Elephas maximus indicus: one gene and its partners. The protein of the gene in region 1 interacts with the protein of each later gene in a biochemical or structural test. Links are inferred from orthologs where the notes say so. Each region holds a gene or a part of one and is shown on either strand. Other genes may lie near its edges.

Region 1 (7,821 bases):
TTTTTACTTTCATTTTTGAAATTCTTGGTGGTATTCTTTGGCCATAGGAGTATGCTTTGCATACAAGTGGGGAAGGCTTGAAGGGTCAAGGAGAGCAATCCTCTACTGAAAGACAGATTTGATCATAAATACTCCTAGCTTCCTGTCCCCTCAGTGGGACAATTCTGAGGTGTGTCCCACATAGTTTCTCAGAGGGTTTCCAGTAGGACAGAGCTCCAGTTACCCACAGTGGTAAAACATTCACTAGAACCCCTTTTATTGGCTTTTCTCTCTTCCTTGTTTCCACTCCCATACAGTGCTTCCTGGGATCATCTTCTGAATAAACTACTTATAGTCAAACCCTTGTCTCAAGGTCTGCTTTTTGGGAAACCAAATCTAAGACTTGGCCTATTTCAGGGGTGTAGCCCTTCAGGGTCTCAGCACAGAATAAGAGGCCCTGCATATCAATCGTTGTTGTTTTAGTCCGGAGCATTTGTCAAGTGTTCAGACTCTTGGCTTTTCAGCCTGTCTCTCTAGAACTGGCATTCATCTTTAGAAGAAAAAGTGGCTCCAAACATAGGACTCACTTCCCTGGGTCTCATTCTTCCTTTGGATCCTGGCTTGGGAAGTCATCATTATTTTGTTAGCTCTCTTTTTCTTTAAGCAGATTTAAAGAAATATTTTGTACAACTTTTCTAGTTGTCCTCAGAGGGAGGATTAATTCAAAGGACTAGTAAGTCCCCAGCCTCCTTTTGTAGCCTTATATTTTGGGAGCCCTGGTAGCACTGCCATTAAGAGTTTGGCTGCTAGCCAAATGGTTGACAGTTTGAATCCACCAGCCTCTCCTTGGAAACCCTATGGGCCAGTTCTACTCTGTCCTATAGGGTTGCTATCAGTTGGAATCGACTCTACGGCAATAGGCTTTGTTTTGTTTTTGGTATTACGCTTTGAGTCTTCACAGAGATTGTTTTTCTTGAGTCCTGCTTATTTCTATTTCTCTATCTCCATTTCCCCCACCACTCCACCCATGCATCCTATTGGCTTTCACAACTCCATGACTTTGTTCTTCTTTTTCCCGGTTCAGAATATGACCCACCAAAGTATCAGCCCTGGAAGAAGAGGATTGTTGCAAACATGCCAGTCTGGGACCACAAAAAGGTAGCAATGCCAAGATGGTCGTGAGTCAGAGATCAAGTAGGCAGTTCGAAAGGGCTGCCAAGAAAGTATGTCACAGTTCTAGGAAACTCCCATTGCTGTCAAGTCAATTCCAACTCACAGGGACCGTATAGGACAGAGCAGAATTGCCCCACAAGGTTTCCAAGGCTGTAATCTTTACAGAAGCAGATTGTCACAGCTTTCTCCTGTGGAATAGCTGGTGGTTTGAATCACTGGCCTTCTGGTTAGCAGCTGAGTGCTTAACCACCGCACCACCAGGGCTCCTTGAAGAAACTGTCATTGTTGTTGTTAGGTGCTGTTGCGTTGGTTCCGACTATAGCAAGCCTATGTATAACAGAACAAAATACTGCTGGGTCCTGTGCCATCTTCATAATCATTGTTATTATTGAGCCTATTGTTGCAGCCACTGTGTCAATTCATCTCCTTCAGAGCCTTCCTCTTTTTCTCTGACTCTCCACTTTACCAAACATGATGTACTTCTCCAGGGACTGGTCTCTTTTGATAACATGTCCAAAGTATGTGAGATGAAAGTCTTGCCATCCTTGCTTCTAAGAAGCATTCTGGTTGTACTTCTTCCAAGACAGATTTGTTCATTCTTCTGGCAGTCCATGGTATATTCAATATTCTTTGCCAAAGGCAGGCCGTATTTCAAAGGCGTCAATTCTTCTTCTTCGGTCTTCCTTACTCATTGTCTTGCTTTCACATGCATATGAGGTGATTGAAAACACCTTGGCTTGGGTCAGGAGCACGTTAGTCCTTAAAGGAAACTAACTGAACTGAAACCTTTGCTGTCAAGTTGATTCTGACTCATAGAGACCCCATAGGACAGTGTAGACTGCCCCACAGGATTTCCCAGGAGTGGCTGGTGATTTGAACTGCCGATCTTTTGGTTAGCAGCCAAGTTCTTAACCACTGGAAACTAGGAGTGGGTAAATCAGGTCAAAAGGAGGGTGGAGGCAAAATAAAAAGATGAAGGACAGATTTGGAAAAAAAGAGAAATAAGGCACGGTATGGGCAAAGTATGGAGTTGGTTCAGGGACAAATCTAAAAGGATCGGATTTAAGCTACGTAATCTATTTGCCCAGAACATTCTTGAAGGCTCAGCTTAAATGATTTTGAATTCTTTTCACTGGAATCACTTTCTCCTTTAACTTCCATAGTACTTTTATTGCATTTATCATATCACATCTTTTTCAACTGGCTTTAAATAGTCTGTTCCTTCTAAATTATTAACTACTTAATAGCAGCTGTGGTATAGTAGAAAGAGCAACTGAATCAGAGTCAGAAGACCTGGGTATAAGTCTCAACTTTAGGACTTATCATCTATGTCATCGTGGGCAAGTTATTGAAGGTGTCTGGCTCTCAGTATTCTCATCCACAAAATGGGGATAATACCATTTACCACCCTAAGGCAATCTGATACATATAAAAGGTATATAAAATGGTACAAAGTGAGCATTCAACAAATAAAATCTTTTATCTGCTGAGCTTACTATGTGTTATGAACTGCTCTAGGTGTCCAATATGTACGCCATCACAATTCTTTGCAGCTCTATTAATACATTAAATAAAATAACATAACATTTTACAAATGAGAAGGAAAAAAAGCTACAATCGGTTAAATAACTTACCCAAGATAATAATGTTAGTTAAATAGCAGAACCAGTACTCAAATCCAGGTCTGTTTCTAAAACCAACAGTCTCCACTGGGCCACCTTGTCTCCCCACGGCTCACATGGACTTCTAATACATACCAAAAACCAAATCTGTTGCCATCAAGTCAATTCTGACTCACAGCAACCCTACAGGACAGAGTAGAACTGCCTCAACAGGGTTTCCAAGGAATGCCTGGTGGATCTCAACTGCCGACCTTTTGGTTAGCAGCCCTAGCTCTTAACCACTGTGCCACCAGGGTTTCTAACACACAGTAGCCTTGAAGTCACTTTTAATCTAAGCTAATCTGGGCCGATGTTGGAGCAAGGGACCTACAAAAGTGTTCCCTTGTTTGTCTCAAAGGCTACCTAGTCTATTCTGATTTATAAACAAATTTTCATATACTTTGCACAAGGAAATTTCCTAAGCAAGAGTGTGTGTGTGTGCAATGCATTAACAGGAAAAGCGATATTTTATTCTTAACATTTTACAGGACCCCTGATTTAACTAACATTCACACAGACTGGTTAAGAGGTATGTCAGGGAAGAAGGAACTGTTTTCAGTTTTTGCCATTAAGTTTTAGAGTTCCTCAGAAGTACTTGAGTTTTTAAAAAGATCATAGAAACCTTGGGAAGAAAGCTATGATTTGGCTTTCCAAGAAAAAAAGCTGATAAATCCATTCAAGTACTTCCAGTTATGATCCCACTGATGACAAGCTGAGGAACTTCTTTGTAGAAAAGATATACCATCTTTCACTTTAAAGCAATAATAAAAAAATGATGAATCATTTAGATCAGTAAATTATTTTGTGTCCACGTTTTCTCTTTGTGGCGGTATGGGATGGTGGTGGTGTTGGGGGACATTACGGAGACCAGAGTTGCAAAAGAACTGCAAAGTCAGTTCCCTGATCCTACTATCACCTTCAGGTAAGGCCCTTACATAAATACCTTACTTCTCCAATAAAATAAAAGGCTGTTTATTTCTTGCCCTTTATCTGATACTACACTTTCACTTTAAGTACAAACGCGGATGAAAGAGAAACAACAAAACACCCCGAAGGATCGGCAAAATAATTCGGGTTGCCCCAGGGAAATCAGGGAGAGAGAAGAGAAGAGCCCCCCTCCCTTCCCACCTCCCTCGGGACACACTTACCCTCCCTCCCGAACTCCCCACCAGCCCCGGCGGGGCCGCCCCTGCGCCTCCTCCTTCCCTAACACGTGCTCCCCGGAACACTCACTCCGAGCTAGCCCACCCCCCGCGGAGGGCTGGGCTCGGGCGCCGACCAGCCCAATCCTCACGCGCCTTACAGCGCCGTGGCCCGACAACGTTGAGCCGCCCAATCGAGAGGGCCTCACCGCCCGTTTCCCGGAGCCCCGCCCCTCCGCAGCCGTGCCCCCGCCCGCCGGTCTCCGCCCTCCTCCTCCTCCCGTTCGCCCCGCCCCCGCCGCTCCGGAGCGGAGCCTGCGAGACGGAGAAACTGGGGCAGAAGTGAAGATGGCGGCGGCGGTGCTGGTGGCGGCGGCGGCGGCTTCTCGCCAGTGACGCGCGGTGCGGGCTCAGCTCCCTCCCCACCTCCCCCAGTCCGGACCCCGTCTGCCGCCGGGACCACACCGACCCCGCAGCCCGCCCCTCTCCCCCTCCCCAGTCGCCCCTTTCCCGACGCCCGGCTGCCGCTGGCGGCGGCGGCGGTGCCGCGGCTCGGGTCCCGGCCGCCGGCCTCGCACTCTTTGGTGCTGTCGCCGGGGGAGCGGGTGGCGTGTTGATCCGCCCTCCTGCCCGCCCCGCCGAGTCGCCGGGCCGCCGACACACGCCCGGCAGGGAGGCGGCGGCGGCCCCTGCGCATTTGCTTCCCTCCATCTGGGGACTAGGAGGCGGCGACGGCGGCAGTGGGTTTTGGGGAGGGGAAGGGGTCTCGGGGGGTGGGCGAGCGCCGGAGGGGGCAGTCCTCGGGAGGAGGACGAGAAGGAAGCACCATGACGTCCATCCATTTCGTGGTTCACCCGCTGCCGGGCACCGAGGACCAGCTCAATGACAGGTAATAGGGCCGGCGGGCGGGCGGGCGGGGGGAGGGGCGCCCTCCCCTCCCCCACGGGGCCGCGCCGGACGGGCGCCGGTGTTTACGCGCAGTCCGCCCGCCGGGGGGGTCCTCCCGGCCCCGAGCTAGGCCCCTTCCGGGCCAAACTTCTTGTCCAGTAGGATGCGGGGGGCGCGCGGTGTAGACGGGGGCCGCGGTGTAGACGGGAGAGCGCACCGCAGCCCCCGCCCTGAGCGGCCCCGTTGAACTCGGCGGAGATGGGGGGCTCCAGCTCTCGGGGTTGGGGGGGCGGGCTGTAATTACCTCCCGGCCCAGGCCCTAGGAATCCATATTAGTCAAAGTTGAATTGAGACAGACAATGCGGATGGGGGATGGTGGAGGTAAAAAGAGAGGGAAGAGGAGAAGCGCGGCGAGGGGGCCGGGGCAGGGCTGGGCTGGCTCGCCCCGGCTCCCGGGAGCTGGGTCCGGAGAGCTGGACCGGAGCTGCCAGTCCTGGGAGATCCCGGGGGGAGAAGCCGATTCCCGGCATTCGCGGGGGAGGGAGGGCGGCGAGGGAGGGAGGAAGCGCCATGATTATTGTTATTATTATTGAATTTGAGCCCCTGCAGTGAGGCTTGCCTGCCCGGGGAGGGGATGAATTCAGGCGGGCGTCGCGGGGCGGATTGCCTTTGCTCTCCCTGTCTTGAAACGGTACTGGCAGTTCATCCTTCCAGCCCCTGTGGTGCGAGCTTTTTTTGTTCCCCTTTTTATTCTAATGATAGTGTTTTCCTGAGTTGTAATTTGACAGCTGAAAACCGTGCGTAGAGTCAAAGGAAAACTCCTAGCGTTTGCAGCTCGCAATGCTGCTCTTCTTAACACGCTGTAAATTTCTAGGATGAGTTTGCTGTGGGCAGAGGAGGAATTATGATATGTATTTTTTTTTGTCTTTCATAAGAAGGCTGTTTTAGCCATGGATTCCTCCCCTTCCCTCCTCCACCGTTCCCGGCCAGTTTAGGATATTGAATTGCAGGGCCGCATGCTCACAGGGAACTGAGATAAAGCAGGAAAAGTTCCTTTACTGTTGCAAAACAGACTCAGGAGGTCGAGGGAGGCCTCCATTAAAGCATGTCTTTGAATCTAGGACTCAGATCGAATGATGGGCTAAATGTTTACAGGATCAGAAGGTAGGGCATTTAAGCCTCCCTCTCCCCCAATACTACTCTGTGTATTTCTTGTGAGTGTAATAGGCCGTCTGGTCCCAAGTTTAGAAGTTAGGTATAATTTTTGCTAAGTGACCTGGTGACATAAGTTGCATGACGCCCTGTTTGTCATGCGCTTCCTGGAGGGAGGAAGAGGCCTAACTTGCTGCTAAAATATTGGCCTTTCTTGATGTGTATAACCGCCTCAGGTCGGCCGGGCAACTTTTAAGTCCAGAAAACTGGAGGCTTGGTTTTAGCACTGGGTTGGATTTGTGTAATCTTTGCTGTAGCCATACTGTATTTAACATGCTTGTGAAACTTTTGGAGTACTTTTTGAAAATGTTAACCATTTTAAGTTGTCACATAGTTCCTTTAAATATGGAAATAACCTTCAAGTTATTTATTTTAACATTTTGTTATCTGATCCTTTGAGTTTATTTAGTGATGTTTTTAAGACTTCAACATAAGATTCTTTGTAAATTTAGAAGTAATTTTCTTTAGATTCAGGCTGGTAGTGAGGATAGCTCTACTGTCATTTATAGAACCAAGTGAGTAGTACTTGTCCTGTAACTTAGAAAATTGCACCAGGGAGGAGAGAACTAGGTCATGTTTTCTATATTAAACCCAATTTTCTGTTATGTATCAGGAATCCTGACTAGCTTACTCACTTGGCTGTGCACGCCAAAACCTATAGTACAATTGTATTGGGCACCTGGTTTATTTTTGAGCATTCCTTTTGCTTCAGCTGTCTTGAGAAATTTACATGTATCTTTCTTACAGATGCCTTTTTTTCCTCCAATATGAGTGTAAACAGTCAGCTTTGATTTTGATTCCTATAGTGTCAAGATACAATATTAAGAATGTTGAGACCATCTTGAATTTTTAATTCCATGAAATAAGGAAAAAAGACAAGTGTATTTGATTTAGGTTATAAAATCTGTGCATTAATATGACAGATACTTGAGTAAATAGAAACGTGCTGTAGGTAGAAATTTAGGTACTTGTATCTAGTAGCTGTAAAAATGTCAAGATTCGTTTTGTAAAGGCAGCATTTGAGACAGTCATGCAACTTAAGTTTTGGAATAGTAGATTTGTGCTGGGAGCTGTTGTGTCTGCCCTTCAAAAGAAAAGATCTGTTTTGCATGCCTCATGGCAGAGTTGCACAAGATCAACCTATTGCTTGAGAAAAATGCTTCCATTCATGATTGGTTTTTCTGGACCCTTTTAATGATCCAGAACGAGCAGCCCAGAAGATCTTCATCTTCAGATAAAAACTTAATCAAAGCTTATTAAGTTCTGGTAATAGAAAAGAGTGTGCTACTGTAGCTTGATTTTTGTAAGATATGTGTCTTTTGTGATAGTCATAAACTAAATGATAAATGATAGTTTTGGATGAAAAATTATAAATAGGTAGACTTTGTTCTTTACCTGAAAAGCAGTAAGATTGATGAGGCAGTATGGTACTGTAAATAAATTGCCCAGTTAAAGAAAACTGTTGAGCTGAAACCACCACCAATATTTTCTTCTCCAAATAAATTTTCTTTCTTTAAATACATACATTCTGTTAAAAGTCAAACATTTTGTTCAGTGTAATAGTCTGATGTCTTAAACATCTAAAATGTACCCAGCACAAAGAAAAACACCTGATATTTTTTCTTAATGTGTGTTCCCAAACTTCCTAATTTTATGATAGTCTGCACATACTAGGTTAAAAATCTTTAATTATTGTCCCTTGGAGGCTAGATAATGAATGAGCGAAGTTAATAATTATAGGGGGCAGTGACTAGGGCCAAGAGAAG
Region 2 (8,000 bases), on another chromosome or scaffold:
CAGCACTGTTTTAAACAACATTAAGAAGAAAAAAAGAATGAACTACTGGAACTGAACCTTGGGCTTTATCAAATGCAAACCATTCATGTACTGTGCAATAGGGAGGTCCAGATCTTTACAAAGGTGATGACTTAGACAACTTTAATCTTGCACCAGAGTCAGAAGTATGTTTAAATTCCAGATATGCCACTAGCTATGCCACCTACGGGGCCATATATATGTCACTAAATCACAAGCAGCACAATATAACGGTTAAGAGCACACACTGTCTGGACCAACTGGATGTGAATTCCAGTTCTTAGTAGCTGTGTGTGACACCTGACCAAATTATTTAACATCTCTCATTTATTGTCTTCACTTTACAGTATTACCTAACTCCAAAAGGTGGTAAGAGAGGGTAGAAGGGTTAGTTAATATCTATAAAAACACTTAGAACAATGTTATATAAGCATTTACTAAACAAACAGAAATTTCTCAAGCTCAAATTTCCTCAATCTCAAAATAGGTAAGAAAAAATTTGCTCTGCCTACCTCATAAAAAAATTTTTTTTTCATAGGTTGTGGCTATTATGAATACAAAAATATTTTGTAAATTACAAGATATAAAAGCATAAAAGGTTATTAGATTACAAGGATAGGGACAAGGCCCTTATTTTCACCTTCTTTAATCCCTCACAATATCCATGAAGCTGCTGGGGTGACAGTGAATATTTACTGAATATCTACATTTTCTTTAAAACTGGAGTCATATAGCTCAGTACTGAAGTCACTTCTGAGGTCTACCCTTCAGCCAAAGATTAGACAGGCCGGTAAAACAAGACAAGACAAAAGAGGGCACACCAGCCCAGGGGCAAGGACTAGAAGGCAGGAGGGGACAACAGAGAACCTAAGGTCAAGAAAGGAGAGTGCTGACATGTCCTGAGGCTGTTAAGCGTTTAATAAGAAGCTAGTTTGTTCTGTAAACCTTCATCTAAAAGACACACACACACACACAAAACCGGAGTCATAAATGGATGAATATGAATAAGGTGTACAGTACTCACTCATGGAAAAGCCTGCTGTAACTTAACCAAAAAGAAGTCTGTTGCTGATTCCGACTCATAGCAACCCTACAGGACTGAGGAGAACTGCTCCATAAGGTTTCAAAGGAGTGGCTGTTGGATTCGAACTGCTGACCTTTTGGTTAGCAGCTGAGCTCTTAACCACTGCACCACCAGGGCTCTGCTATAAACAGTACTGGGTCCCAATGAGAGTAAAAATCATTTAGTTCAATTTGAGCTTTTAAGAAGCAATAAAAACCCAACCCATTGCCCTCCAGTCAGTTCTGACTCATAGGGACCCTGTAAGACAGAGTAGAACTGCCCCACACGGTTTCCAAAGAGCGCCTGTGGATTCGAATTGTGACGGTAGCTCTTAACCACAGCCGCCAGGGTTTCCTAAGAAGCAATATACTATAACAAAAACGCCAAGCTCCCAAGCCTTTACATTACAAGTCTCCAGTCTCCAACCTCCCTTCTCTGAAAAACAGAAATATAATTTTTGGACTCTTCCTATCTTTATTTGTGGTAAATATTTATTTGTGAGAAATAGTTTTGTTCGAGTTCACAACCAACAAATAACACAAAAAGACTAATTTGCCACATACATGCTTTCACAGACCGGAAGCAGAACCACAAAATAGCAAACACCGGAGTCCCATAAAAAAATCCTGAAATACCCTTTTCCTATTAGCAAACAAAATGCTGCGGATGAAATCTCAAAGGTTATTTCATGAAAATGCAAACCAATACCTTACCACCTACTCAAATGCAATTTGTGCTACCAGGGCACAAGTTTTGCCAGCATACATCAAATGGCAATCTGTCTTCTGTTGAAATTAACGTTAAAGCCTAGGTTAAACCTTTCTCCAAGGCAAACTGGAAGCGAAATTCTTTCTAGAGTTTGGAGTTTCCGTAAGGTAACAGGGTCACAAAATCAGGGAAAGCAAGAGACCAAAAGAAGGCAGAAAAGAATCCTTCCAGGAGTCACTAGAAAATACCACTGCCGGCTGCTGAAACAAGTATTTTGAAAACAAAACTTCACCACAAGTCCTATTTTTTTCGGTATTAAGTATTAAAAGGAATTAAAAGGTTAAGAAAAGAGTATCAAAGACTATAAATTAGATGGGCTCTTAAAGTTCATCTAGCTCACAGCTCGCCTGGAGTAGGAGACCCCAGTACCCCAAACAAAGGTACTGCTATCCAGAACAAGGGATACAATACAACTAAAAATAAGGAGTAGAGGAGGCGAAGAAATCGGAGAAAGGGGCTCAGAAAGATACAGGCCCGCTGACGGCTGCACGGTGCTCCCCGAGAACGCTCGTCAGCCCGCTAGTCCCTCCAGCCCCTTCTGCCTCACACCCCTCCCCACCGTCCCAGGCTTGGTAAGAGCGCGCACGCGCAGCAAGTAGAGGGTGCGCGTGGCGACGCGCAGGCGTAAAGTGGGCAGAAACAATGAGCTTTGTTGCCGAGGCGGCAGCGGGGGGCTAGAGAAAGGGTACGGGGATGGGGGTGGGGAGTGAAGAAAGGGCTTCGGCAAGGGTGAGGAGATACCAGAAAGTGCTATCCCGACAACCCCTGCGCGCCACGGGGGACCCGGATAGAAATCTGCCAGAACCAAATCATAAATAATAATGACAATGAGAAAAAAAGCAACGGCCATTTCTAAAAGAAGAAAGAGACGAAGTCAGCCCAAGCTTGTCCCTCACACTCAGCGGAAAGGGGAAAGAAACAACAGAGGCCGTACGGGGACGCGGTGGCTATCAATCCGTGGAGACCCTCTAGGCCCCTCAGGCGTCGCCGAGGTGCTGTGTCTCAACCGCCAGGGCCGCCGCACCCTTCTTAATCCTCCACCCGAAGGGACCCCCTCACCCAGTGCACCGCAGCGGGAACGGCAGCCAACGAATCCTGTCGGCCTCCGCGGATCTCCACAGGCACCGCCGCTCCCCCGCTCGACGTGCGCTTAGCCCGCCACCTCCCTTCTCCAGTCCAAACAAACACCCAAGACCGGAAGTGACCTCACTTCCGCCACCACGACAGGCCCCGCCCCCTCTTTCTGTCAGCGCTGCAGCCAGAGTCCGCTAGAGAGCGCGCGAGAGAACACGCGACCCCCAAAGTTTCTGCGTCCCCCGAACGTTGCACACGTGTGCACGCGCCACGGCCTTTCCTGCAGGATATATTGAGAGCCCTGTTGTGTTCCCTCTGGGAGGCGGGAGTAGGGCGGGTTCACTCTCCCTACATCCGCCCATCTTTCGAGAAGGATAGGACGCAGTGGGTGGGGGATGTGGATACAGAAACAGACCCTGACAAACACACAGATCTGGACCCTTACATATCCCAGTGGTTACCACACACACACACATACTGACACCAAATAGGGACATCTAGACAAAGGCATGGAACCCTGGTGGCACAGTGGCTAAGAGTTCGGCTGCTAACCAAAAGGTCGGTTGTTCCAATCCACCAGCCACTCCTTGGATACCCTATGGGGCAGTTCTACTGTGTCCTATAAGGTCGCTGTGAGTCGGAATCCACTGTACGGTAACGGGTAGACAGCGAAACTTTGTACCCACACACCCAGACCCACACCCCAAAAATGAGTGTCACGCTAAGTGATATGTACCGAGTCACATCCAGAGATCGTGACACAGAAATATGATAAACATAATAAACTAATACAGAGATATACTGATTATCTACAAGCACTTGCCCTGAGACACGTATGGGCACACAAACACAAAGCCGGACCATTATGTACAAACGCAAAATTTGAATACATGGTTCCCAAGCAGCCTATGGAAACCTTTGTGGCTGAGAGGGGAAATCCCTGTTCAGAGACATCCTGGATAAGACCTTAGGGCCCATGACTTTTTTAGCCCATGATCCTGGATGCAGTACACCCCATACGTTTATTAATCTTATTCATGCTTCTTTACTATCATTGGCAAGCTCCAAGTTACATTTTAAAGTGAAACTAAATACACAGAATAGTGTAAGAAAATTGGATGTTTGAATACGTATACATTGTATTAGAAGGGGACACACAAAAACGGGTAATTTCTTGCCTCTTGGGAGGGCAAATGAGGGACTGGGAAACATTTAAGATTTACCGTTTATTGTAAATCTTCTTGTTACATTGGAGCCTTTTTTAAAACTGTTCTTGCAAGAAAAAAAAATTCTTTTCATGAGAATGCTTGAATCCAGAAATAGGGCTAGTTTTCTTTAGAACCGTTTCATTCATTGAAAACCTGTTTTGTGTTAGTTCCAAAGTCCCAAATAAGGAACACAGGTGCTGTGCTTTAGTCCCCGTCTACCACTCTGGCAAGATTTTGTCTCACATACTTTGGGTATATTATCAGGAGGGATTGGTTCCTGGAGGGCATCGTGCTTAGTAGAGGGTCGACGAAAGAGAACACAACCCTCAACGAGGTGGATCGACAGTGGCTGCAAGATGGGTTCAAGTATAGTAACAATGGTGAGGGTGGTGCAGGACTGGGTAGTGTTTCCTTCTGTCGTACATAGCGTCGCTGAGTCCGAACCAATTCTACAGCACCGAACATCCTAAACTTAGAGGAAAGGTTTGGTTTTGCTGCCTGTTCTGGGAGGAAAGAGATGATACTATTATCATTCTGTGGAGTATGTTACATCCAAGGGGTATAGGAGAGGTACCTGGGAGATAAACCTCACAGGTTGGAAGAGGCATGAACAGGATGGGGGATACCAAAAATCAAAATAGATGGAAGCTGGATAATCTGTAGTGGAAACCCTGGTGGCATAGTGGTTAAGTGCTACGGCTGTTAACCAAGAGCTCGGCAGTTCAAATCCGCCAGGTGCTCCTTGGAAACTCTACAGGGCAGTTCTACTCTGAAGGCTCCTCTTCCACTTGTGAAATGGGAGTTCACAATACCCATGCTATCTTTGGATGGTAGTGATGGTCTATGCATGGAAAACACTGTCAATAGAGTGAAGGCTAGTCAGCAATTTGCTAACGGTGAGGACTGAGACACTGCGACGGGACTAGCAGAGGCCCACAGTTTAAAAATACTGTGGAGATTCAGCTGCTTGGTTTGTAGTAACAATCTTAAGTATTGGAGTAGAAATCAAGATGGTAATGAAGAAGCAGGATGACTAGGAATAGGCTTCCACTCTGAAACTCTTAGCACCTTCCTGAACAGCTCTAATTTTTATGAAAATACAAAATATGTACACCTTCTGACCCAAACACCACACATAATCTACCCAAAGAAATTAGACATGTGTGAGGCATAGAAGGATACTCATAGCTATGCTCTGAATGCCAAAAAAACGAAAAGCCTATCAATAGGGAATTAAACTATGGTGTACTAGGATACCCACAATGCAGTTTAAGATAGGTGGCGAAATAGCATGTATAATGTTCTAAAATTGTCTATGTAAACACAGACATACATGGGTATAAGAGTAAATGAATGGTCACCAAAATATTGCCATCTCTAGGTGATCAGATTTCGATGGAATTTTACTATCTTCTGTATACTTTTCTGTATTGTTTGAATTCTGTATGAAAGCTTGAACTGCGTTTAAAAATAAGGGGGAAAAAAAACACTCTGAATTAAAATTTAACATAGGTTTCTACAGTAGCTTGTTAAGAGCCTTGTCCCCATGCTAATCTCACGAGGAAGCTGCGCAGACAATGGTAGCCCAGCATTACTAAATGCTGCATAAAGGCCTAGCAGTGTGGGGATGAGCAAAGGCCCCTGCTCTGAATGAATTTAACAATTCAGGTGAGGAAGTAAACATTCAACACTGAAAGCCTATGTGCCAGCACTGTTCTATGCACTGATACGCAGCAAGGCAGTAAGTAGTTATCTTTTCCTGGAAAAGTCATGCCCGAGTGTGGGGCTTAAAAATGGCCAGGACTTAAAAGGGTGGAATTTGTATATGTTGAGGAGGCAGGCTTTGCTGGATCTAAGAACTAAGTAGATGTGTAATAGAAGAGGGATCTGAGACATTTTGTGCTTATGAACAGCAGAAGCCACAACAGGAAAACAAATTAGGAGGTATTATTAGAGTCTTACTAACTACTTTACCAATAATCAACTTAAAAGGAAATTCCTTTCCACAAGCTTTCAGGCACCACACAAATTCGAAAGAATTCACAAAAACGGCATAAATGTGGGCTTATGCTAATACAGGAATCCCTGTGGGTAGTGCAAAGTTAGAGTATTTGCCTGCTAATGTAAAAATTTGAGTCCACACAGAAGTGCCTAAAAGAGCTTAGCAATCTACTTGCAAAAAACCAGATACTGAAAATCCTATGGGACACAGTCCTGCTCTGGCACACACGACAACTGGTTTTGTCCTTATAGAAGTGGAGCAAAAAAAAGCCCATGTAACAAAGGCAGACTGTTGGTAGCTGCCAAGAAAGTAGCTGGGAACTAACTGCAACTTCTGATTGTATGTAGCCAAGTCTTTTCGTGGAAAAAAGTCTCTCTCCTCAAATTTCCAGATGGCCATTAGCCATTGCTTCTAAGTTGAGCAACGAGAAATTGGTCACGTTTTTGACTGGCCAGGCAATGAGTGAAATTGGAAGAGCATCCATCCTATCAAACGTTAAAATTCTCCTGCTCTTGGTGTTGGCATATCCCATTTGGATCAGGTCCTTTAAGGCAACATCTCATCAATACTACCATGTATGAAGCAGTGTCATCACAGTTGATTAAAACCTGCACCCAATGTCAATAATTTCTATCCTGTGTATGCTGAGTGTAGGTATCCTCCTGAGGCGGAGGGGCTGACAGACGTTTATTGGCTTTTGTCTGTTATACCTAAGAGGTTGCCCTTTCCTTTAGTTTCCACTTTCACATTTTTCATACTTCCTACTGTGCACTTGACTTCAGAGTTCCTAAGTTGTATAAAAATTACATTAACTTTCTAAAGCTACAATGTTAAGTACAAGAAAAGGTCAGGGCTTAAAACCCCAAGCTAAATTCTTTAAGACTGTGAATATACTTTATTCCTTTCAAAACTGTTATTACCTTCTGACAGTTCTTAGACTTTTTAAAATTCATTTTCCTAAAGAATACTTTGATGGCATACCTTTGTATATTGAGCTGGGGTTAAAGTCCACATTCTTTTGAAGTGTAAAAAGCCAAGAAACATGCCTTCTGGAAAATTACTCCACTCTGATTCAAGTTCTTTGAATGTCAGGGAGAAATCAAGATTCTTAGAATCAACAGTAGAGCAACAGTAGGACTTTTATCTAATTACTACTTCTCCAAATGAGTCTAGCCAGTTTCAACTTCAAAGTATTATCAATCAACAGGTTGGATGCACCCAAGCGGTTAAGAGAGTAACCATTCTCCCTTTGCCATTCAGTAGAAACTATCTAATATCAAGCTGGTTCATGAAATCCTATGTTGTGACTGACTAGAGGTCCACTGTAGAAGATGGGAAAAGAAACCTGGTCAGGCTTCAGCTAATTCTCAAGACTTCACTAACCTTCCCGAGAAGGTATGAGTGCATGAAGTACCCAGAAGACTTGAACTTTTTTCTTGTTTCCAGCAAAACATGGAGAAGGGCAGGTCTGGGCAGTGCAATTAATTATAGAGGAAAGCAGTATTTATAGGGTCCGGAAACAAGTTTCTTCCACTGATTCATGGAAGAAACCAAACCAAACCGCCCTCCCACCCCAAAAAGGCTTTGCACAAGGTGTGTTCTCAAAAGAGGACAGTAGCGAGACCTGTTCTTCAGGCAATGTTAACTAAATCAGGACTCTAGTTACAACTATCTGAACACACTTTTATAGCTATAGTTAAAGCAATCATTCTCCTAATGTCTCTATTCTTGACATCACTACCTAGTAACCCGCTAAAAATGCAAATTCTCTGGACCCATCCCAAATCTAGTAAATCAGAAATTCCAGGAGTGGGGCCCAGCAATGTTTTAACAGGTTTTTCAGGTACTTTTGATGCATGCTAACATT
Region 3 (7,968 bases), on another chromosome or scaffold:
TATGAGACGGACTTGATTTGTAAACTTTCACTTAAAGCATAGTAAAAGAAAAAAAAACTACAATAAAAAAATTAAAAAAAAAAAATTATCCCCTGAAGCCATCGTTAAACAACTGTTTAGCTAAACCAGTAAAGAATGTTCACCATGAGAATTTTATTCTTTTAAAGAACTGTCTGTATGAGATCAAACTGTCAACAGTAACGCTAAAGCACAGATAAGAAGCTCAGGGGGTAAGGAGTCTAAGTCAATGGTTGTGGAACAACATGGGTAGAGAGAGCAAGAATGGTGACCCAATGTGGAGAATGTAGTCCATGTCATTGAACTGTATGGGCAGAAACCGATGAATGGATGTACGTTCTCCCGTGTATGTTTTCACCACAATTAATAATAATTAAAAAAAAAGATTACATAGTCCATTTTTTAGTTTGAAGATGTGGGGTCAACTTATTACATCATTAAGGTGTCTTTCCCCTAGAGGGCTGTGGTTTTGTTTGTTTGCTTATGTTTTCCACAATGAAGAAACTGAAATGGATCTAGAGCTAAACCACTTGCCTGAATACAGTTAATAAAAGATGATTTTAGCTGCAAAGCTTTACACTCAAGACATGGTAAATAAATGCCAATATCCAGGTATTAGAACTTTTCAGAGGCCTAATTACCTCCCGTTTCAACCCTTGCTGACCCATGGGAACAGCGGGGCTATAAAATCTTGTTGATTTTCTCAGGAGGTTTCTTCGCCAGGTTTATGAAGTGGCCTGAGAGAGCCGCGGCCTTGGTGAAACGATGACGTTACAGCATCACACCCACTGTAGGTCCACCTGCTTCTGCCTCTGGGAGTGGCTTCGCCCTTTAGCCTTCACCGCCCTCAAGCTGCTGACAATTAGCTGATACAGAGGAGACTGCAACACAGGGCCAAGGCAGGACAATCGCCCTCAAGTTGGGGCACTCAGATTCTAAAATTGCTCTGCTCGCCTCTGGACAGTGGGAAATTACAGAACTCCTCGTCCGTGAAGCCATTTTTTGTTATTTTATCTTACCGTTGTTGTTGAGAATATACACAACAGAACATACACCAATTCAACAATTTCTACGTGTACAATTCAGTGACACTGATTACATTCTTCAAGTTGTGCAACCATTCTCAACCTCCTTTCCCAAATCGTTCCTCCCCGTTAACATAAACTCACCGTCCCCTAAGCTTCCTATCTAACCTTTCGGGTTGCTATTGTCAGTTTGATCCCACATAGTTCTTTAAAAGAACACAATGCTCAAGGCAGACATTCTTCACCAGTTAAGCTAAACTATTGCATGGTTCAAAGAAGACTCGTTGAAGTCATTTTGAGTCTGGTTGCCCGTTATTTACATCTAGAAGCGTCCTGACTGAGCCAGGCCAACCCAGTCCACACCCAACTAAGACTCAGGAGACCTGGGTTGTTTCTGGTCTCTGCCCCTCTAGAGTCCCTGGGTGATACAACGGTTAATGTGCTCGGCTGCTAACTAGAAGGTTGGGGGTTCGAGTTCACCTTGGAAGAAAGACCAGGTGATCTATTTCAAAAAAATTAGCCACTGAAGACCCTACAGAGCACCTTTCTACTCCGACACATGCGGGGTTGCCAGGGGTTGGAGTCGACTCAACAGCAGTTGGTTTTTGGTTTGTTTTCCTTTTTCTTTTCCTTTTTGCCCCTTCTCAAACCTGTCTGGGTCTCACTTTCCTCACCCGGCAAGGGTGGAAGTGGAAGAGATACACTCGAAGGCCCTGTTGTGAGATGCAATTGGTTCCGACTCACAGCCACCCTATGTACAACAGAACCACCAGCTGAGGTACTTGCTGAGGGTACAGGGAATATGGAACGGGTGATGGAAAAAAGTAGTTCTAAATACCAGTTATAACCATGTGGCCAGTTGCAGAAATAAGGACTGTAATTGGTGAGAGTATTTCTTCCTTGTATGTGCACATCAAATATTTGTTTTCTTCACTCATAAAATATAAGATGTAAACGGGGATGGTGTGTTTTTGATTGTACACGTTAGTTGTATCCTGTTAGGAGCACGTATGACTTTGTAACTGTCTTTATTTAGAGATTGTGTATGGTTAAGGAGATATGTACAAGAAACAAGTTGACAAGGGGTGGACTATGATGGTTAAGGTTGTGGGTCAACTCGGCTGAGCCGTGATTCTCAGTTACATAGTGGCAGTTATGTAATGATATAGTCACCTCCATGATGTGAGCTGATATGATCACCAATCAGTTGTAAGGGGAATTTCCTTGGGGGTGTGGCCTGTATCCAATATATGGATGTTTTGGCAAAGCTCGCTGGCTTTTGCTTACTCTGGATCCTACATCCAGCTCGTCACCATCTGAACTCTGCTCTCGGGACTTGAGCCAGCTTCTTGCTGTATTACCTGCCAATTTTGGGGTTTGTCAACCTCTGCAGCCCGTGAGCCAGCAGCCTGCTATCTGACCTGCCAAACTTGAGTTCGTCAGATTCTCCAGCTACGTGAGTCAGGAGAAGCCTCCAGCCTGATGCCTGACCCATGGACTTGGGACTTACCAGCCTGTGTAACTGCATGAGCCATTTCCCTGAGATTTAAAAAAAAAAATTATACATATACATTTCACTGGTTTTACTTCTGTAGAGAACTAAGCCTAACACATCTGGTATGACAAATGTACCACAGTGCAAGAAACTGACAGACGAGTGGTGATCTAAGGCCTACTCAGCTGTAAAGTCATCTCGCTTCATCACTGTACACATTCACTGCTGTGGATTCCAAAGTCCATGATGGCCTTGATTTTGTTTTGGTTTGGTTTTTGTTTCTTTCCCCTTTTATCTGGTTCGGATGACTCTGACATCGTGTTTGCTGTCTCTGTTCTTGCTGGATGCTTGGGAATTCTTTGTTTGGGTGCCACATGCACAGATTATAACGGGTGGTTGAAGGAACAAGCTAAGTAGTTAGGTCCCCAACTACATTCACCACTCACCTGTCAACCTCTCGCACTGTGGTGGCTTGCAGGTTGCTATGATGCTATATGCCACTGGTATTCCAAATACCAGTAGAGTCACCCACAGGGGACAGGTTTCAGCAGAATTTCCAGACTAAGACAGGCTAAGAAGAAAGGTCCTTCCGAAAATCAGCCAGTGAAGACTTTACGGATCACAACAGAACACTGTCCAACATGATGCTGGAAGATGCAAACACACCAACAATCATGAAGAGGGCACAGGACCAGGCAGTGTTTCATTCGCTTATATACAAGGTCTCCGTGATTCGGTGCCAACTCGATGGCCACCAACAACAATAACAACTACGTAAGGCGAAAAGGACAGTTCATCAGTTAAGACCCAACAAAATTAAAAATTCAGATTTGCTGTAATTTTTTACAACCCTGACTTGGTTCTCTCCTTCATTTTGCACGTTGTAATCACAGCATCCTCAGATTTTTTCCAAAACCGCCCATCTTCCACCATTGCCGTTTATTCTGGGCCTTTGTTTGTATCTGACTTTTTGAGTTGATGGCAGTAGTTGTATGACGTGCTCCATCTGGTCTTGTAAAATGCCCATGCCATCCGCATGGGGCTCTAGACAGATGGACACGCCAATCAGCAGAGGGAGAGATGGGCCCTTGCCAACACTGCTCATCACAGACAGAGCCTTCGGGAGACTTCTTTGTCCTCTCCGGTCTTGGTTTCCTCATCTTTAAACTAACACAACCCTTCCAACTCAAAGCACCACAGTAACAATGTCCACCTTCTGCGAGTTCAACGAACAAAATGAGAACAAATTTGCCACTGAACACTGTTCCAAGCACACACCCTGATAAAAGACAGCAGCACCAGGCGAAACGTCGGCAGGAAGAACTAATTGCATAGTTAACACAAAAACAATCCAACTCACTTATCCTGTGGCGAGAAAATGGATCCACTTTGCAGAACGGTTAACTCTATTGGAAATAATGATAATTGCTTGGAAACTAAGCGAGACCCTTCTCAGTGCTCCCTGGTAACTATGCAAATTGTTCTTCCCACCGTGGTAACAGTGCAGCTCAGAACAAAAACCTCTTTTTTGGTCCATGCTGGGATAATTTCTAAAACTCAGGAAGTCTAACTCATACCTCCTCTTCCGAGGGGGTGGGGGTGGAGGTTCACACTGCCAAGATCTGGGGACAGATCATCAGAGGTGGGGACCCTGCCAGTACATCTTGCCAGAGACTGGGACATCTGACCTAATTGTCGAAACCTGAAATATATTTATGCTGAAATATCGTGAAAACTGAGGCCCTCACCACCGCCGTTCTCACATCCTGACGCAGAAGATGGTCGATCTTCACACACACAGAAAAAAAGCTAATTTTGTAATAAATGACTGCAGAAGCTGAGGGATAAAAGATGCCAACCCAATTTCAAATCTCCTAGAATCTAGACTTTCTGGAGCCATGAAACCTGGATGAACCCCTCAAAACCAATGCCCAGAGATAATCTTCAAACCTTAAGCCAAAAATAGCCCCTCAAATCTTAAAACTGGACAATAGTTTAGCTTAACTAGTAGTAAAAAAGATCTGCCTCAAGCATTGTGCTCTTTTAAGAACTGTCTATATGGAATCAAATTGGCCATAGCAACTCAAAAGTTTGGATAGGAATCCTGCAGGCAGTGAGTTTATGTTAAGGGGGATGAACAACTCAGAAAAGGAGGGTGAGAATGGTTGCACAACTCAGAGAATGTCATCGGTGTCACTGAATTGTACATCTAGAAATTGTTGAGTTGGTGTACGTTTAGCTGTGTAGATTCTCAACAAAAAAAAAAAAAAGATGGCAACCCATAGCCCCCTTTCAAGAACTAGCCTATGTGGTTCTGGAGCTGCAATCCAGAAAGACAAATGGTGAAGTAGGAAAGCAGCTTCCATTCTGGTGTTTGGGATATTTAAAGAAATAGTGAAATTGTTGAGAGGGTAAGAAATTTTCTCTGGCTACATGGAATCACAAACCAGTGCCAATGCAGGGGCTTTAGTTCAGTAAGTTGGTGTTTCCGGCAGGAAAATGATAAGTGGGGTGGTGAGGTCGGGGTGGGGGGACTGTGCCTTCTCACAGGTGATGTCGTTATTGGGTACCGTTGAGTTGAACCCATGTGACAGAGTAGAAGTGCCCCATAGGGTTTTCTTGGCTATAATCTTCACGAAAGCAGATCACCAGTCTTTCTTCTGAAGAGTCACTGGGTGAATTTAAACCACTGACCCTTCACTTAGCAACTGAGCACTTAACCATTGTGTCATCAGGGCTCCTTTCATATGAGGTAGATTCCATAATTCTTTAATTTTCAATTAAATTGGGTTCTATCTTAGTCCTATAGTTCTGCCTACAGTGGCCTGAGGTTTGGTGCCAGGAAGCTGTGATGCATCCCTGAGCTAGCACAGCCAGGCCCTGCCCGCTTTAGGGCATGGTTTCAGGCCTGGACTCCGCTCACAAGCCCTTTGAGGCTCCCTCTCCAATACCAGGCTGACTACTGGGGAGCCGAAAATCAATGAGGGACTTCCAGACTAAGACCGACTAGGAAGAAAGGCCTAGCAATCTGCTTCTGAAAATCAGTGGGTGAGAACCCTATGTTTGGACACCAACTTCTATACAGAGGTCATCAACCTCACCGAGCAGTGGATCCCATCGGCCATGAAGGTCATCAGACATCGGGATGGGCTTGATATTGTTGAGCTGTAGGTGGGGCCCAAGGTGCGTATTAGGGAAGCAATATATAGTAGCAGTCAACAGCATGGATGCTGGAGGCAGGCGCTTCAACTTATATCTTGGCCAAGTAGCTTGGTCAAGCCATAAACTTTGTTTCCTCAGTTTCTTCATCAGTAAAGTGAGAGTAATTATGGTACTTGCTTCATCAGAATTACAAGGATTGGATTTGGCCACCCAAGAAAATGCACTTAAAATAGTGCCTGGCATGTTTGAAGGCGTGGTGTTTCAGTGGTAGAATTCTCACTTTCCATGCAGGAGATCCAGGTTCGATTCCCAGACAACATAACTCATGCACAGCCACCACATGTTAGCAGAGGCTTGTGTGTTGCTGTGATGCTGAACAGGTTGTGATGCTGAACAGGTTGTGACGCTGAACAGGTTTCAGGGGAGCTTTTTTTCCAGACTAAGATGGACTAGGAAGAAACGCCTGGTGATCTACTTCTGCAAAACAACCGATGAGAACCCTATGCAGAGAGTCCTCAAGAGTCAGGAAGGCTGACTTCACAGCACCACAGTTTTTCATGGGTACAAATTTATTTAACAATTGGCTCCCATGGGGGGCTCAGCATGGAGAAGGGCTCAAAGAAGCAAAGCCAGAGTCCCCTGCCATCAAAGTGCCTTCCTCCTCACTCCTTTTAGCACCCTTCTCACTCCTTTTAGCACCCTCCGCACCTGAAATCATGCTTGGCACGTAGTAGATGCTCAGCAAATGCCTGCCAAGCAAACCCAGCTGGGCAGGTCTACAGGCTGCTTATGGCCACGTGCCAAGTGCATTGTGGGGGCAACAAATGCACCCAGTAAATGCACCTGCCCTCTGATAAATCTCCAATCATAGAGGAATGGTGGCATCACCTCAGGTTTCCGCTGAACTTTTTCCATATGCTTTCGCGTCTCCGCTTCTTCCCTCTCATTTCCATGAATTGGATTTATGTTTTGTACCTGACGGAACCACTCGTTTTTCACGCCTGACGCTGCCCTTCCCTTGCTCCACCAGCTCCCTAGTGCACGCACTGCTGGGCTGATCCAAAGCCACCCCAAGCAGGCATCTTTTCAGACCTACGTTGCTCACTTTTCCAAAAGCCCCTCAGTGCATTCCCATAATTGCAAGCATCAAGGGCTACGAGACCCATGCATATTCGATAAAATGGGCACGCTAAATAGCCAGAGTTGTTTTCACAGTCTTGTGAGTTACAGCCGAGCAAGTTCCTATTAGCAGGACGCGTGTTGTGAACGTTGGTAAACGCTGCCGGGGGGTTGGAGGAGCCTCATCTTGACAGCTTTGATAAGTGGCCTGACTCATTGCAATTTCAAGCCACTGAAAATATCTTTTTTTCATTTGCCCTTTGCTAAATGCTGAGCTGCGAACAAAATTCTCTCCTCCCAATCCAGGTACCTAATTTTTATTAATAATATCTTCACTTGATCCATCACTGTTAACTAACGGGAATATTTGAAGACATTAATGTAAACCTGGTGAGAGGTAACATGGCAGTCCATTACTCGATTCCTCCCCGTGGATTCGCAACACCAGCTGCATCGCCAAAAAGCCCTGGTGGTGCAGTGGTAAAGCGCTCAGCTGCTAACCCCAAGGTTAGTGAGAAAGATGTGGCAGTCTGCTTCCGTAAAGATTTCAGCCTTGGAAAACCCTACTGGCCAGTTCTACCTCGTCCTACAGGGTCACTACCAGTTGAAATCAACTCGACAGGAATGGGTTTGGCTGCATTACCAATGTGCTCAGGGCCTCCACCCGTCGGGGCTCAACTTCTCCTGGGCAAGGAGGCTGTGTGAGCGGAGGCTTCCTGACTGTGTCCATACCCTGGGCCAGATTAACCAGTAAGCAAGGTGCGCTCGGGCTTAATTGTGTCCACTTACTAATGTGGATTTCACCACATCTTTGGTGATGTGTGAGGTCAGCTGCCCTGTTGCAGGGTTCCTACTCCTGGCACCGGTCAGGCTCTGCTTCTTGTTAGTTGCCATCGAGTCAGCCCCTACTCATGGCAACCTTCTGTATACCAGAATGAAATGTAACCTGGTCCCTATACCAGCTTAGTCTTGCTTACTTTGGACAGGTTATCAGGAAGGACCAACACCTGGAGAAGGACATGATGCCTGGTAAAGCAGAGGGTCAGCAAAAACAAGGGAGACCCTTAATGAGATGGGCTGACACAGTAGCTGCAACAATGGGCTCAAACATAACTATTATTGTGAGTTGGGCACAGAAGGAGGCAATGT

What was found.
Region 2: the proteins of UBR5 (region 1) and PAIP2 form a complex in vitro, tested with the Homo sapiens proteins (2 studies listed by BioGRID and IntAct, with this or other methods). The link is inferred for Elephas maximus indicus from reciprocal best matches to the Homo sapiens genes UBR5 and PAIP2.
Region 3: the proteins of UBR5 (region 1) and PCK1 form a complex in vitro, tested with the Homo sapiens proteins (2 studies listed by BioGRID, with this or other methods). The link is inferred for Elephas maximus indicus from reciprocal best matches to the Homo sapiens genes UBR5 and PCK1.

Annotation. Positions count from the first base shown.
Region 1 is NC_064833.1:39,566,040-39,573,860, forward strand, and holds the start of UBR5 (E3 ubiquitin-protein ligase UBR5), read left to right. Parts: upstream 1-4,735; 5' UTR 4,736-4,782; coding exon 4,783-4,844; intron 4,845-7,821. UniProt on the Homo sapiens protein: E3 ubiquitin-protein ligase involved in different protein quality control pathways in the cytoplasm and nucleus. Mainly acts as a ubiquitin chain elongator that extends pre-ubiquitinated substrates.
Region 2 is NC_064820.1:152,470,939-152,478,938, reverse strand, and holds the start of PAIP2 (polyadenylate-binding protein-interacting protein 2), read right to left. Parts: upstream 3,049-8,000; 5' UTR 2,909-3,048; intron 1-2,908. UniProt on the Homo sapiens protein: Acts as a repressor in the regulation of translation initiation of poly(A)-containing mRNAs. Its inhibitory activity on translation is mediated via its action on PABPC1.
Region 3 is NC_064843.1:11,697,563-11,705,530, forward strand, and holds the start of PCK1 (phosphoenolpyruvate carboxykinase, cytosolic [GTP]), read right to left. Parts: upstream 3,068-7,968; 5' UTR 2,985-3,067; intron 1-2,984. UniProt on the Homo sapiens protein: Cytosolic phosphoenolpyruvate carboxykinase that catalyzes the reversible decarboxylation and phosphorylation of oxaloacetate (OAA) and acts as the rate-limiting enzyme in gluconeogenesis.